Linked DNA regions of Macaca mulatta. The protein of the gene in region 2 purifies or fractionates together with the protein of the main gene of each other region. This does not show direct contact. Links are inferred from orthologs where the notes say so. Each region holds a gene or a part of one and is shown on either strand. Other genes may lie near its edges.

Region 1 (6,467 bases), on a different chromosome or scaffold from region 2:
CTATACTAAAAATACAAAAATTAGCTGAGTGTGGTGGCACACACCTGTACACCTGTAATCCCAGCTACTTGGGAGGCTGAGGTAGGAGAATCACTTGAACCCAGGAGATGGAGGTTGCAGTGAGCCGAGATAGCGCCAATGTACTCTAGCCTGGTGATAGAGTAAGACTCCATCTCAAAAAAAAAAAAAAAAGTAGCTTGTTTTGTCTAGGTGCAGTGGCTCACGCCTGTAATCCTAGCCCTTTGGGAGGCTGAGGCAGGCAGATCACCTGAGGTCAGGAGTTTGAGACCAGCCTGGCCAACATGGCGAAACCCCGTCTCTACTAAAAGGACAAAAATTAGCCAGGCGTGGTGGCGGGTGCCTGTAATCCCAGCTACTCAGGAGGCTGAGGTGGGAGAATTGCTTGAACCTGGGAGGCGGAGGTTGCAGTGAGCTGAGATGGTGCCACTGCACTCCAGCCTGGGCGACGGAGGGAGAATCCATCACAAAATAAATAAATAAAGTAAATATATGAATTTTAAAAGTAGCTTGTTCTTAGTTTAATATTCTTGTTGAGTTCTAAAACACTAATTTGAAAACATGTCTATTGATGGTATTTGAGCAACAGTATCCATATTAAACCTTTAATGTGACAGGAATTATTTTCTGTGTTATTTATTTATTTTTTTTGAGACGGAGTCTTGTTCTGTCACCCAGGCTAGAGTGTAGTGGCGCGATCTTGGCTCACTGCAGGCTCTGCCTCCTGGGTTCAAGCAATTCTCCTGCCTTAACCTCCCAAGTAGCTGAGACTACAGGCACCCACCATCGCGCCCAGCTAATTTTTGTATTTTTAGTAGAGACAGAGTTTCGCCATGTTGGCCAGGCTGGTCTTGAACTCCTGACCTAGTGATCCACCTACCTTGGCCTCCCAAAGTGCTGGGATTACAGGTGTGGGCCACGGCGCCCAGCCATCTCTGTTATTTCATTGTAATGTTTTAACAGGTACCCATTGTAAATTAGTGTAGGAAAGGGCTTTTGTCTGTTGTAAAACACTTTACAAATGCAAAAGTTTGTTGGAAATTGTATTTGAATGCCTCACATCTGTGTAACCAATCCTCTCTATATGAGGATGGTTGTGTATGTTTCAGTTTTATTTTGAAATTTTCTAGAAATGGAATCTTCTAACTGATTTTAGGGAAACCCTTTATCCTCTCTAGGCTGTCTTTCCTTATCTATAGATAAGGAAATAATAAGTTCTTTTTAGCTCTGTGATTTGAAAGCTTTAATTTTATTTTATTATTTTTTTTTATTATTATTTTTTTTTTGAGACGGAGTCTCGCTCTGTAGCCCAGGCTGGAGTGCAGTGGCCGGATCTCAGCTCACTGCAAGCTCCGCCTCCCGGGTTCACGCCATTCTCCGGCCTCAGCCTCCCAAGTAGCTGGGACTACAGGCGCTGCCACCTCGCCCGGCTATTTTTTGTATTTCTTAGTAGAGACGGGGTTTCACCATGTTAGCCAGGATGGTCTCGATCTCCTGACCTCGTGATCCGCCCATCTCGGCCTCCCAAAGTGCTGGGATTACAGGCTTGAGCCACCGCGCCCGGCCGAAAGCTTTAATTTTAAATGAGAGAGAGGTAGTGGTCTTTATGAAGTTTGATAAGTGGCAATACATTTAACTGATTTTGCTCTTTTTATGTGTAGATCATGGAAGGGAAGTGGTTGCTGTGTATGTTACTGGTACTTGGAACTGTTATTGTTGAGGCTCATGATGGACATGATGATGATGTGATTGATATTGAAGATGACCTTGACGATGTCATTGAAGAGGTAGAAGACTCAAAACCAGATACCACTGCTCCTCCTTCATCTCCCAAGGTTTGAAATGGTCTTTGAATCTATTCCTTTTACCTCTTGAGATGATAAAATTTTGAAGATAGCCAGGTGCAGAGACATGTAGTCTCAACTACTCAGGAGGCCTAGGACAGGAGTGTGAGTCCAGCCAGAGCAACACAGGGAGATACCATATCTAATAAAATATAAAAGAAAAACATCGTGAAGATAAATTTGGAACATTTTCAAAGGCAAAGCAAAATTTGCTAAAATACTTACTGATCTCTCTGGCAGCCTTTGTTATATCTTGCTAGAGGCCAATTATATGGGTTGAATTTGAAGGCTAGCTATGAAATTTTTGTGACAGTTGAAAGCAGACCAGGATAAATGATTCTAGGTAAAAAGGCATGTTGCTGAAAATTTAAATTTTTAGTTCATTTATATATTTAACACAGGTCACCTACAAAGCTCCAGTTCCAACAGGGGAAGTATATTTTGCTGATTCTTTTGACAGAGGAACTCTGTCAGGGTAAGTGTTTTCCAGAGAAATATATCTTAGAGGCAAACATTATGTAAATAAGATGGGATAGTGGATTCCTTTTTGGATAGCATCTTATATAGTGAAATGTCTAACTTTATTTTATTTTATTTATTTTTTGAGACGGAATTTCGCTCTTTTGCCCGGGCTGGGGTGCAATGGCGTGATCTCAGCTCACCACAACCTCCACCTCCTGGGTTCAAGTGATTCTCCTGCCTCAGCCTCCGAGGTAGCTGGGAGTATAGGCATGTGCCACCATGCTAGCTAATTTTTGTGTGTTTTTTTTTTTTTTTAGTAGAGATGGGGTTTTAACATGTTGGCCAGGCTGGTCTTGAACTCCTGATCGCAGGTGATCCACCTGCCTCAGCCTCCCAAATTGTTGGGATTACAGGCGGGAGCCACCGCACCTGGCTTGAAATTTCTAACTTTAATATCTTCAGTGTTAACATCCATGTAGGAAAATAGTCCTTTGGAATTTGTGGTTTTTACTTCCACTCCTTTCCCTCCCCCACTCTACCCTATATTTTGTTCTTTGATTGAGGAAAAAAAAATCTTCTCTTGATCTTGAAACATCAGTGGAATTATCTCTTAGGTTTGGTACTTTTTCATATAGGTTTGTGAGTTGAAGGTAATATATTATCATTAGTTGTGTGACAGATTTAAAGGTTGGAAGTAGAGTGGTTAAATAGGCTAAGAGCAGAATAAGTCTTATTTTTATGAGTATTTACATAATTTTCCCTCGCAAGACAACTGTCATTTTTAAGACTGATTTTGGGATTTGTGTTACTTACAGGTGGATTTTATCCAAAGCCAAGAAAGATGATACCGATGATGAAATTGCCAAATATGATGGTGAGAATTCCATTTGGTTTAGATATAATAGCAGATAGAGGTTTGACATGTTGTCTCCATGGCATTTCCTAGACTAGTTTAAAAGGAAATTGTAAGCTTTAAGATTTTTCCGGCCGGGCGCAGTGGCTCACGTCTGTAATCCCAGCACTTTGGGAAGCCAAGGCAGGTGGATCACGAGATCAGGAGATCGAGACCATCCTGGCTGACACAGTGAAACCCCGTCTCTACTAAAAATACAAAAAATAAGCCGGGTGTGGTGGCGTGTGCCTGTAGTGCTAGCTGCTGGGGAGGCTGAGGCAGGAGAATGGTGTGAACCTGGGCGGCAGAGCTTGCAGTGAGCCAAGATCACACCACTGCACTCCAACCTGGGCGACAGAGACTCCATCTCAAAAAAAAAAAAAAAAGAGGCTGGGCATGGTGGTTCATGCCTGTAATCCCAGCACTTTGGGAGGCCGAGGCGGGCGGATCACGAGGTCAGGAAATCGAGACCATCCTGGCTAACACGGTGAAACCCCGTCTTTACTAAAAATGCAAAAATATTAGCCAGGCGTGTTGGCGGGCGCCTGTAGTCCCACCAACTTGGGAGGCTGAGGCAGGAGAATGGTGTGAACCCAGGAGGCAGAGCTTGCAGTGAGCAGAGATCGAGCCATTGCACTCCAGCCTGGACAACAGAGCGAGATTCCGTCTCAAAAAAAAAAAAAAAAAAAAGATTTTTCCATGAAAGTTTTGCCACCTTTGTGCGTTGCCTAATGTTTCTTTTCTTTTATTTAAGGTTCGGGGTGCATGTGTAGCCTTATATTTAATAGGATTAGATCTGTTTAATCACCCGTGCTGCTGAATGTTGGAAATAAGTTATTTCAAGACAGTATAATATACTACAGTTTTATAAAACCATATCCTAATAATATTTGCCAAATAAAGTATGTTTGTTTATTTATTTACTTTCTTGAGACGGAGTCTCACTCTTGCTGCCCAGGCTGCTGGAATAGAGTGGCGCGATCTTGGCTCACTGCAACCTCTGTTTCTTGGATTCAAGCGATTCTCCTGCCTCAGCCTACTGAGTAGCTGGGATTACAGGTGCCCATCACCAAGCCCGGCTAATTTTTGTGTTTTTATTAGCAATGGGGTTTCACCATGTTGGCCAGGCTGGTCTTGAAGTTCTGACCTCGAGTGATCCGCCTGCCCTCAGCCTCCCTAAGTGCTGGGATTACAGGTGTGAGCCACCATGGCTGCCCCAGTATAATATATTTATGCAACTAGGAGTTTTGTTTTGTTTTTTTTTTTTTTTGGTGTTTGTAGGACCTTCAGAGGTAGAGTTAAGGAATAGAACTTTTTTGTTTTGTCTTGTAGGAAAGTGGGAGGTAGATGAAATGAAGGAATCAAAGCTTCCAGGTGATAAAGGACTTGTATTGATGTCTCGGGCCAAGCATCATGCCATCTCCGCTAAACTGAACAAGCCCTTCCTATTTGACACCAAGCCTCTCATTGTTCAGTAAGTGAAATGCTTGTTGGATAAAAGCTTTCTACAAAGGGTAATCTTAGAAGACATTATACAACTTTTATTTTATGTTAAAAAATTATGAGATTATATAACTTGTGGTAGGGATTTTTGGGTGAATTTAAACACCTTGTAATGGTTTTTCTTGCCTCATAAATTACTTTGAAAAAACTGGTTACTCATTTTCCTGACTGTAAATAACTTGTAGATTTTGCAGAACAAACTTACTGGAAATCTGCATTAATGTTCAATTTAATTTTATTTATTTTTGTGGGATTTGATAGCTATTCAAAAACAATAGAAGATGGAATCCTTTGTAAGGGGAAACATTTGACCTGTGATAAAACATGACCAAGATGAGGGAGAGAGGAAATACATTAAGAGAGTTTTGATCTTTCAAAATGCCATACGGTTTTCTGCCTTTCTCTCTGATATTAGGTACGAGGTTAATTTCCAAAATGGAATAGAATGTGGTGGTGCTTATGTGAAACTGCTTTCTAAAACACCAGAGCTCAACCTGGTATGTAATTCCCATTTCTGGAATGTAGCTGGACACCCACTATTACCTTGTAAGAATTTTGTAATTTGCGCCAGGTGCAGTGGCTCACACCTGTAATCCCAGCACTTTGGGAAGCCAAGGCAGGCGGGTCACGAGGTCAGGAGATTGAGACCATCCTGGCTAACATAGTGAAACCCCGTCTCTACTAAAAATACAAAAAATTAGCCAGGCGTCGTGGCGGCACCTGTAGTCCCAGCCACTCGGGAGGCTGAGGCAGGAGAATGCCGTGAACCCAAGAGGTGGAGCTTGCAGTGAGCCTAGATTGCACCACTGCACTCTAGCCTGGGCAACAGAGTGAGACTCCATCTCAAAAAAAAAGAATTTTGTAATACTTGTGAAAATAAAGGCTTCCTCCTGCTGTTTAACTCTTTTGATAAGTTGGGAATATTGACTTTGACACTAATGTGCTTTTTATTCGAAGTGTAAATTACAAAGTTGTTACCAACTGTTTTTATCTGAATTTCTGGTTTTGCTTCTGTGTAAGTTTTAGTTTTAGCAAGCTTATTTCTTTGTTTTACGAGGAAGCAGTAACTGTCTAGATGCGTGCATTACTTTTCTTAGGCACTTAAATGTTATTTTAAATTTACTGATGATTGCTTGTTATTCCTTTTCACTAAACAAACTTGTAGTTAGCTTTTCCTGTAACTGTCATTAATGTATTTGGAATTTTATAAGAGGAATTACCATACACTTTTGAAATGTTGCTTTTGAACACTTTGACTACAGTGACTTCAAATACTCCTTTTTTGTTTCTGAAGGATCAGTTCCACGACAAGACCCCGTATACGATTATGTTTGGTCCAGATAAATGTGGAGAGGACTATAAACTGCACTTCATCTTCCGACACAAAAACCCCAAAACGGGTATTTATGAAGAAAAACATGCTAAGAGGCCAGATGCAGATCTGAAGACTTATTTTACTGATAAGAAAACACATCTTTACACACTAAGTAAGAAAAACCATTAGTTTGGGGGCTTATGGTATTACATATTTATCATCCATTTACTTTAAAGATTGTATATCTGGCTGGGCACTGTGGCTCACACCTGTAATCCCAGCACTTCGGCAGGCTGAGACAGGCAGATCACCTGAGATCAGGAATTTGAGAACAGTCTGGCCAAACTGTTGAAACTCCATCTCTGCTAAAAATACAAATATTAGCCAGGCGTGGTGGCACACGCCTGTAACTCCAGCTACTTGGGAGGCTGAG
Region 2 (6,467 bases):
GTTACAAAATGAGCATTTTAGAGATCTTTGTAAAATTCCTATCCATGAACGTTGTCCAACCCTCCTGACTTTGCCTGGGCACCTGTCTGTGTCTCCATAATCAGTCTTCAAGGGATGTGGGCAAGGGGAGAGAGGCCATTTCTTTGAGTCTTTCTCTTTTTTTGTTTTCAGCATCTTTTTAAAAATGATTGTATGTTTCCCTTACACCAAAAACAAGCAAAAAGCCAGTAGATGTCTTTGAGTCTCTTAATTATAATTTCAGCATTCATATTGCTTCCCAAGTAAGTGGGGTTTTCACCCAGCCCTCAAGTTAAGGGTGTTAGATTATTTTTCATGTGAAATTAGCCAGACTGGGTTTCTAAACATGGTGCAAAACAATAACGACAAAAGTTATAATTAAACTAGTCTTCTTCCCAAATACCCACATGTCTAACGTGTGTGGGAGGGTGTTAGGCAGGCGACCTACATCTGGGGAAGAGGCAGACAGGCCCCGTGGCCCCAAGTCTAGGATGGCATGTGGTATTGGTTGATGGGTGAGAGCAAGAGAGGGAACACTTGTGCAGGATGTGGTATCAGCACCTGTACTACACCTTAGGGATTCCTTCTCTTTGCAGTATACCCTGACAATAATTATATCCATCAGCCTTACTCCCTTGGCAGCAGGAAAACTAATACTCTTAATGTCTCAGTTCCACTTTCTTAGAGGTGCAGGTGAGGACATAGGGAGTCTGGGGCCCTGGAAAAGCGTTCTGACTCTGCCGCTAGCCAGATAGACCTGAACTAGACACGTTACCTCTTTGTATCACTTGGCTCTAATCCCTTATCTGTGAAACCAGCATTTTCAAGTGGTGCTTTGCACATCAGCCTTTTGTATACACTTTCATTTAATAAAAAATTTTTTGGGTTTTTTGAAAAGGTTAAAAACCACTGGCCTAGCTAATTTCAAAGCTGGGTTTCCTTTTTCTGTCCCTTTCCTATTACATTTAAAACCTCACCTCCTTGACTTCTTGTTCCCTTTTTCTGCACTGCAGTCTGGGAACACTGAGGCCAAATAAAAGGAAACTTGGCTTGAGGGACACCTATGGGTGTGCCAGGCTGCTCCTGGTGTTTGCATATTTTAAAATTTAAATACTAGAAACCTCTGCATGTTAGGTATTATTTTTTCCATTTTACCATTGAGGAAGCTGGGGTTCAGAGAAGGTGCAGGGTGACAAACCTGAACTGGAACTCTGACTCCCACCTATAAGCTGTGGGGACTTAGAAAAGTCATGAGCTCTCACTGATTGTTTCCTCAGCTGATGTGGGCTGCAGGGCTGTTATGGGGGAAATAATAAGAAAGTGCATCAAGTGCCGAGCACATTCTAAGCACTCCATCGTGGCAGCTCCTACTACTAATACAGAATAGAGTTGAATCTAACATGACTCCTTGCAAGTGACAGAAAATCCAACTCAAATTGGATTAAGCAAAACAAGAGAAATTCTTAGTGAGCTGAAAAGCTTCAGGCTCACATGAGGCCCCAGATCCCAGGCATTCCTGATCATGGAGTAGGCACTATTTGGGGCACAAAGGTGACACCCCCATTGCTGCAGATGCTGTCATGGCTCTAGCTCTGCTGAGAAAGAATAAGAAAGGCCACTCTCCCCATTACATGAACAATAGTCTGCCCACTCTGAGAGACTGAAATTGGGTCATGGTCCTGCCCCTGAGCCCGTCACTGATTGGCTCTGACCTGCATCAGCTGTTCCATGCTGGAAGTAGAGGCAGGACCCCATTCATACCCAGAAGGGAGCAAAAGGTATCCCTCACCAAGATTATGGGGTGTAGGGTGAAAGGCTGCTGGGCAGCCAGAAAGCAAACAGATCCTCTACAATACTTCAGCTGATGAAAGCATGAAGCTAAAATCATAAGGATCTGAGTGCAAGTTCTGGCTGTCCCACCTTCCATGTGACATTGGGCAGTTATTTAATCTCTTTTAGCCTCAGCTTTCTCATCTGTACTTACATATAAGGTGATTGTGAGGATGAAGATTATGCATCTTCATCCTCACCTTCCAACACAACCATCATCCTCATCACCATCATCAACACGATCATCATCATTACTACCACTACCACCATCATCACTACCACTACCACTACCACCATCTTCACCATCACCACCACCATCGCCAATATCATCACTCTCAACATCATCACCACCATCACTATCATCACCACCATCATCATTACTACCACTACCACCACCATCACCACCATTCCACCACCATCACCATTATCATTACCACCACCATCATCACCATCACCATTACCATTATTACCTCCACCATCATCACCATCACCATCACCATTATCATCACCATCATCATCAATACTAAAACCATCATCACCATCACCATCATCACCATTATCACTACTACCACCATCACCATCACCACCATCATCATAAATAAACATCACATAACCGGCGTGTAGCTGGGCATTGACCATAGAGCCCACTCGCTGTTTCCTCCCTCCACCCCCATCCACACATTTCTAACCACCATCCTGCACTGGCTCCCTGTCTCCTCTGGTCTCACCCACATGTCCACTGAGAAAATGATTCTCAGAACGCTAACTAGACCAGGAGGAGTCACACAACATAACTCAGGTCTGTTTATCCATTTTCTATATGTTGATGACATCAGATTAATGGGTGTTCTCAGCTTCTCAGAGGGAGGTCGAAATTCTCCCCTTCTCCCCTTCATGTTTCCAGAACTCCCTTCAGTTGGATATTCCAAATGCAGAGTAGGGGTTGAGGCCAAGGGGCTCTTCCATGTCAGCCCCATCTGCAATGACTGAGCTGGTCCTGCGGCCCTCTCCCCAGGGCCCAGTCAGGGAGGGCTTCAATCCTCAGGTCACCTGTGGCCTACCCTGCCCTCAGAGGTGCCATCTCTATGTTGGCCACTGGATGGCAGCTCATACTCACAGACTGCATCAATTTCCTGGCAACTAGTGGTGGGTTTACCCCCTTATCAGGATGTTTGCCTTGCTCTGAGAGCAGATCCAAAAGCAGTGATATCTAACTTAATTTTCAACAAAATATTTTGAAAAGGGTGCTCCCTCACACATCTACACAGTCCAGGTCATGCACCCCCTGCCTGGTGCTTGGTAGTCAGGAGGAGCTTCCTCCATGCAGCTCCTTCCCAGCTAGGGCTGGGAAGAGCCTCTTCCATGCTGCTCATGTAAACTCCAGATTCAGTGTCAGTTTTCTGAACCTGAGACAATGATCTAAATGCAGTCCAAGACTCTGAGGGGGGAAAGAGTGCCTCAGCTCTTGCCTGTGTCACGCTCGCAAAGCAAAAGATTTTGCAAAATTCTAATGAAAGCTGGGCTTGCAAAATTGGAAAACTAGATTATTTGTGAGAGCACTGAGACATCCCTGGGCGTGTCCATCTGGAAAAACAGCATTCCCTCTGGCAATTTAGCAGATGTTCTGCAATTTGGCAAAGGAAATAAAGCAGTTTTTCACAAAAGAAAAACTACAACTGGGAGAATTGCCCCTAGTTGTATTTCTTCTCCCTAATTGTCAAGGAAGTGTAAATCAGAAAATGAATCAGGACAATTTCTCTCTACTATGTTAGCTAATATTTTAAAAATTGAATACTCACAAGGGTGAGGCGAAGTAATTGTTTCCAGTAACATTTTATACCGTCACACCCTTTTAGAAAATAATTTGGGAGAGTTACTGCGAGACAGAAGTATGTCTATGTAATTATGGGAGCTTAGACTTAAAATAATAAGAAATGAGAATGAACTTTATGAACAAATATGTGGAAGGTTGGAAGCAAGAGTGGGACCAATGTGCTTGGGGAGGAAGCATTAGGGCAGTGACTCCACAGACCCAGGCTCAGGCTGAACTACACAACCTCCTTACGCCTCAGTTTCCTCAACTGTAGAACAGGAATGATGAAAGTGCCTGTTTCATAGGACGGTTGTGAGGATGAAGTGACATACACCACATTAAGAGCTCGTGCCTGGAAAGGTTAATTCTTAGTAAATGATGGCTATTCTTTTTTATTGCGATAAAATATACACAACGTAAGAGTTACTATTTTAACTATTTTGGCGGGTACCACTGAGTGGCATTCGGTACATTCACAATGGTGTGCAGCCATTGCCATATTTTCAGAACGTTTTCCTCATCTCAAAACGAAACCTCATGCCCGTTCAGCAGTCACTCCCCATTAAAATATTAGTTATGAAGATTGTAGCATTATTTTTAAAACTCGTGATATAACAGTGATTGAAAAAATCAGTACGTAAAATTGTGCATTATGATGTCAGTAGTAAAGAAGCCTATAAAAAATCTGAAAAAAGTATATAAAAAGAATAGCAATTGCATTTCTCAGACACTCTTTACATTGTAAAAATCATTTTTGGACTTTCAACACAAAAGCAAAAAGTACACAAACAACCACCAACCTGAAAGCACTATGACAAAGCCCAGCTAGTTAAATCCAGGTCTCAGGAACACAGAATCACATATGATGTTTACACTCTCCAGGGTCAGAGCGGCACTGGGAGCTGCCTTGTGTTCTGCAGCCTCACGGACAGGCAGGAGGTCCAGCGCCGCTGCTCTGTTCTTCTGGTTTCCTCCTAAACTTGTTTTGGGTGCAGTAACCATTTCTTTCATCTTTTTAAACACAGGTACCTTTGGGGCTGGCCTTCTCAAGGAAGCCCAGCTTCATGTGATTGAGAATACAGTGTGCAATCACTACGAGTTTCTGAATGGAAGAGTCAAATCCACCGAGCTCTGTGCTGGGCATTTGGCCGGAGGCACTGACAGATGCCAGGTAAGAAAAGATCAAGAGACCAAAGTTAGTCTTGTGCTCTTCCATCTCGGTCTCAGCCCCTTAGACTTCAGTCCCAAAGTGACAAATTCTAGAAGGATTTGTCAATGTTAGACCCCAGTTTAAGTGTTGCTCACAAACTCCCTAGATCTGTCCCTGAATGCGTATTCAGATAATCTAAGGAGATGTCTTGGGGCTTGGGTTTGAGATCTGTAGCAAGGGAGTTTTAAGTGCCGTAACTACCTCAGGTCACTCACCCTCCTGGGGTGTGCTGGTGGCCAGGGACTAAAGTGGTGACTTTTCTGGTAGGGAAGGAGGTAGAGGGTACAGGACACAGACCAACTGCACACACTTTACAGTGATGCCCAGGCTAGGCCAGTCTAAAGGAAACACCAACATAGGAAGGGATGTGTGCAGGATTCACAAGGGGTTTTTTACTCCCAGGAGAAACTAAGTGGTGTGGTTTCACTGAATAGACTTTGCTAAGTACTCAAGCAGTGCAGATGCTCGAGTAATATGCTCATAAGTTCCTTTCCGATTTCAATTACCAGGAAAATATACATGTGGATAATAGACGAATGCCATAATAAAAGGCTGGCAAGCTAACCCTCACCTGAATTTTTCCCTACCTCTGTTTAGGGTGACAGTGGAGGGCCTGTGGTTTGCTTCGACAAGGACAAATACATTTTACGAGGAATAACTTCTTGGGGTCCTGGCTGTGCATGCCCCAATAAGCCTGGTGTCTATGTTCGTGTTTCAAGCTTTGTCACTTGGATTGAGGGAGTGATGACAAATAATTAATTGAACAAGAGACAGAGTGAAGCATTGACTCACCTAGAGGCTAGAATGGGGGTAGGGATTTAGCACGCTGGAAATAACGGACAGTAATCAAACGAAGACACTGTCCCCAGCTACCAACTATGCCAAACCTCAGCATTTTTGGTATTATTGTATATAAGCTTTTCCTGTCTGACTGCTGGGTTCTCCAATAAGGTGACATAGCTATGCCATTTGTTAAAAATAAACTCTGTACTTATTTTGATTTGAGTAAATTTTGGTTTTGGTCTTCAACATTTTCACGCTCTTTGTTCATCCCACAAATTTTAAATGGGCAGACTGAGGGGGTTTAGCTGCTTTTGATAAGGAACAGCTGCACAAAGCCCTGAGCAGGCTGCAAGGTCACAGAGGGGAGAGCTGAGAAGCCCTAGGAAGTTGTCCATGCATTTACCTCATCAGCTAAAGAGAGCTTGACACACATTTTTACTGTCTTTATTTCTAACACTGAGGTGAATGTTTTCAAAGCTGCAACATGTATGGGGAGTCATGTGAACTAGTTCTGTTATTGGGAATGAAATCTGTCACTGGCTGCTTGACTTGAGCCCCGGAGTACAGAGCAGAGAGATGTATATACCATGGAGTGAATCGGGCCATGGACGTGTAACACAAGACCAGCTGAGAGTCTGAATGTTATTCTGGGGCATATGTGAGTCTAGGACTGGTACCAAGAGCACATAAATGAACAACAAGCAAATATTGAGGGTAGACCACTTGTTTCCCATTGCTAATTGCCTGCCCGGTTTTGAAACAGTCTGCAGTACACACGGTCACAGGAGGATGACCTGTGGCAGAGACACATGT

Evidence for each region.
Region 1: the proteins of LPA (region 2) and CANX purify together in Homo sapiens (affinity purification with western blotting; 3 studies listed by BioGRID). This does not show direct contact. The link is inferred for Macaca mulatta from reciprocal best matches to the Homo sapiens genes LPA and CANX.

Annotation. Positions count from the first base shown.
Region 1 is NC_133411.1:188,693,439-188,699,905, forward strand, and holds part of CANX (calnexin), read left to right. Parts: intron 1-1,679; 5' UTR 1,680-1,682; coding exon 1,683-1,853; intron 1,854-2,263; coding exon 2,264-2,337; intron 2,338-3,139; coding exon 3,140-3,198; intron 3,199-4,548; coding exon 4,549-4,690; intron 4,691-5,134; coding exon 5,135-5,216; intron 5,217-6,013; coding exon 6,014-6,206; intron 6,207-6,467. UniProt on the Homo sapiens protein: Calcium-binding protein that interacts with newly synthesized monoglucosylated glycoproteins in the endoplasmic reticulum. It may act in assisting protein assembly and/or in the retention within the ER of unassembled protein subunits.
Region 2 is NC_133409.1:11,558,325-11,564,791, forward strand, and holds the end of LPA (apolipoprotein(a)), read left to right. Parts: intron 1-4,686; coding exon 4,687-4,832; intron 4,833-5,468; coding exon 5,469-5,630; 3' UTR 5,631-5,881; downstream 5,882-6,467. UniProt on the Homo sapiens protein: Apo(a) is the main constituent of lipoprotein(a) (Lp(a)). It has serine proteinase activity and is able of autoproteolysis. Inhibits tissue-type plasminogen activator 1. Lp(a) may be a ligand for megalin/Gp 330.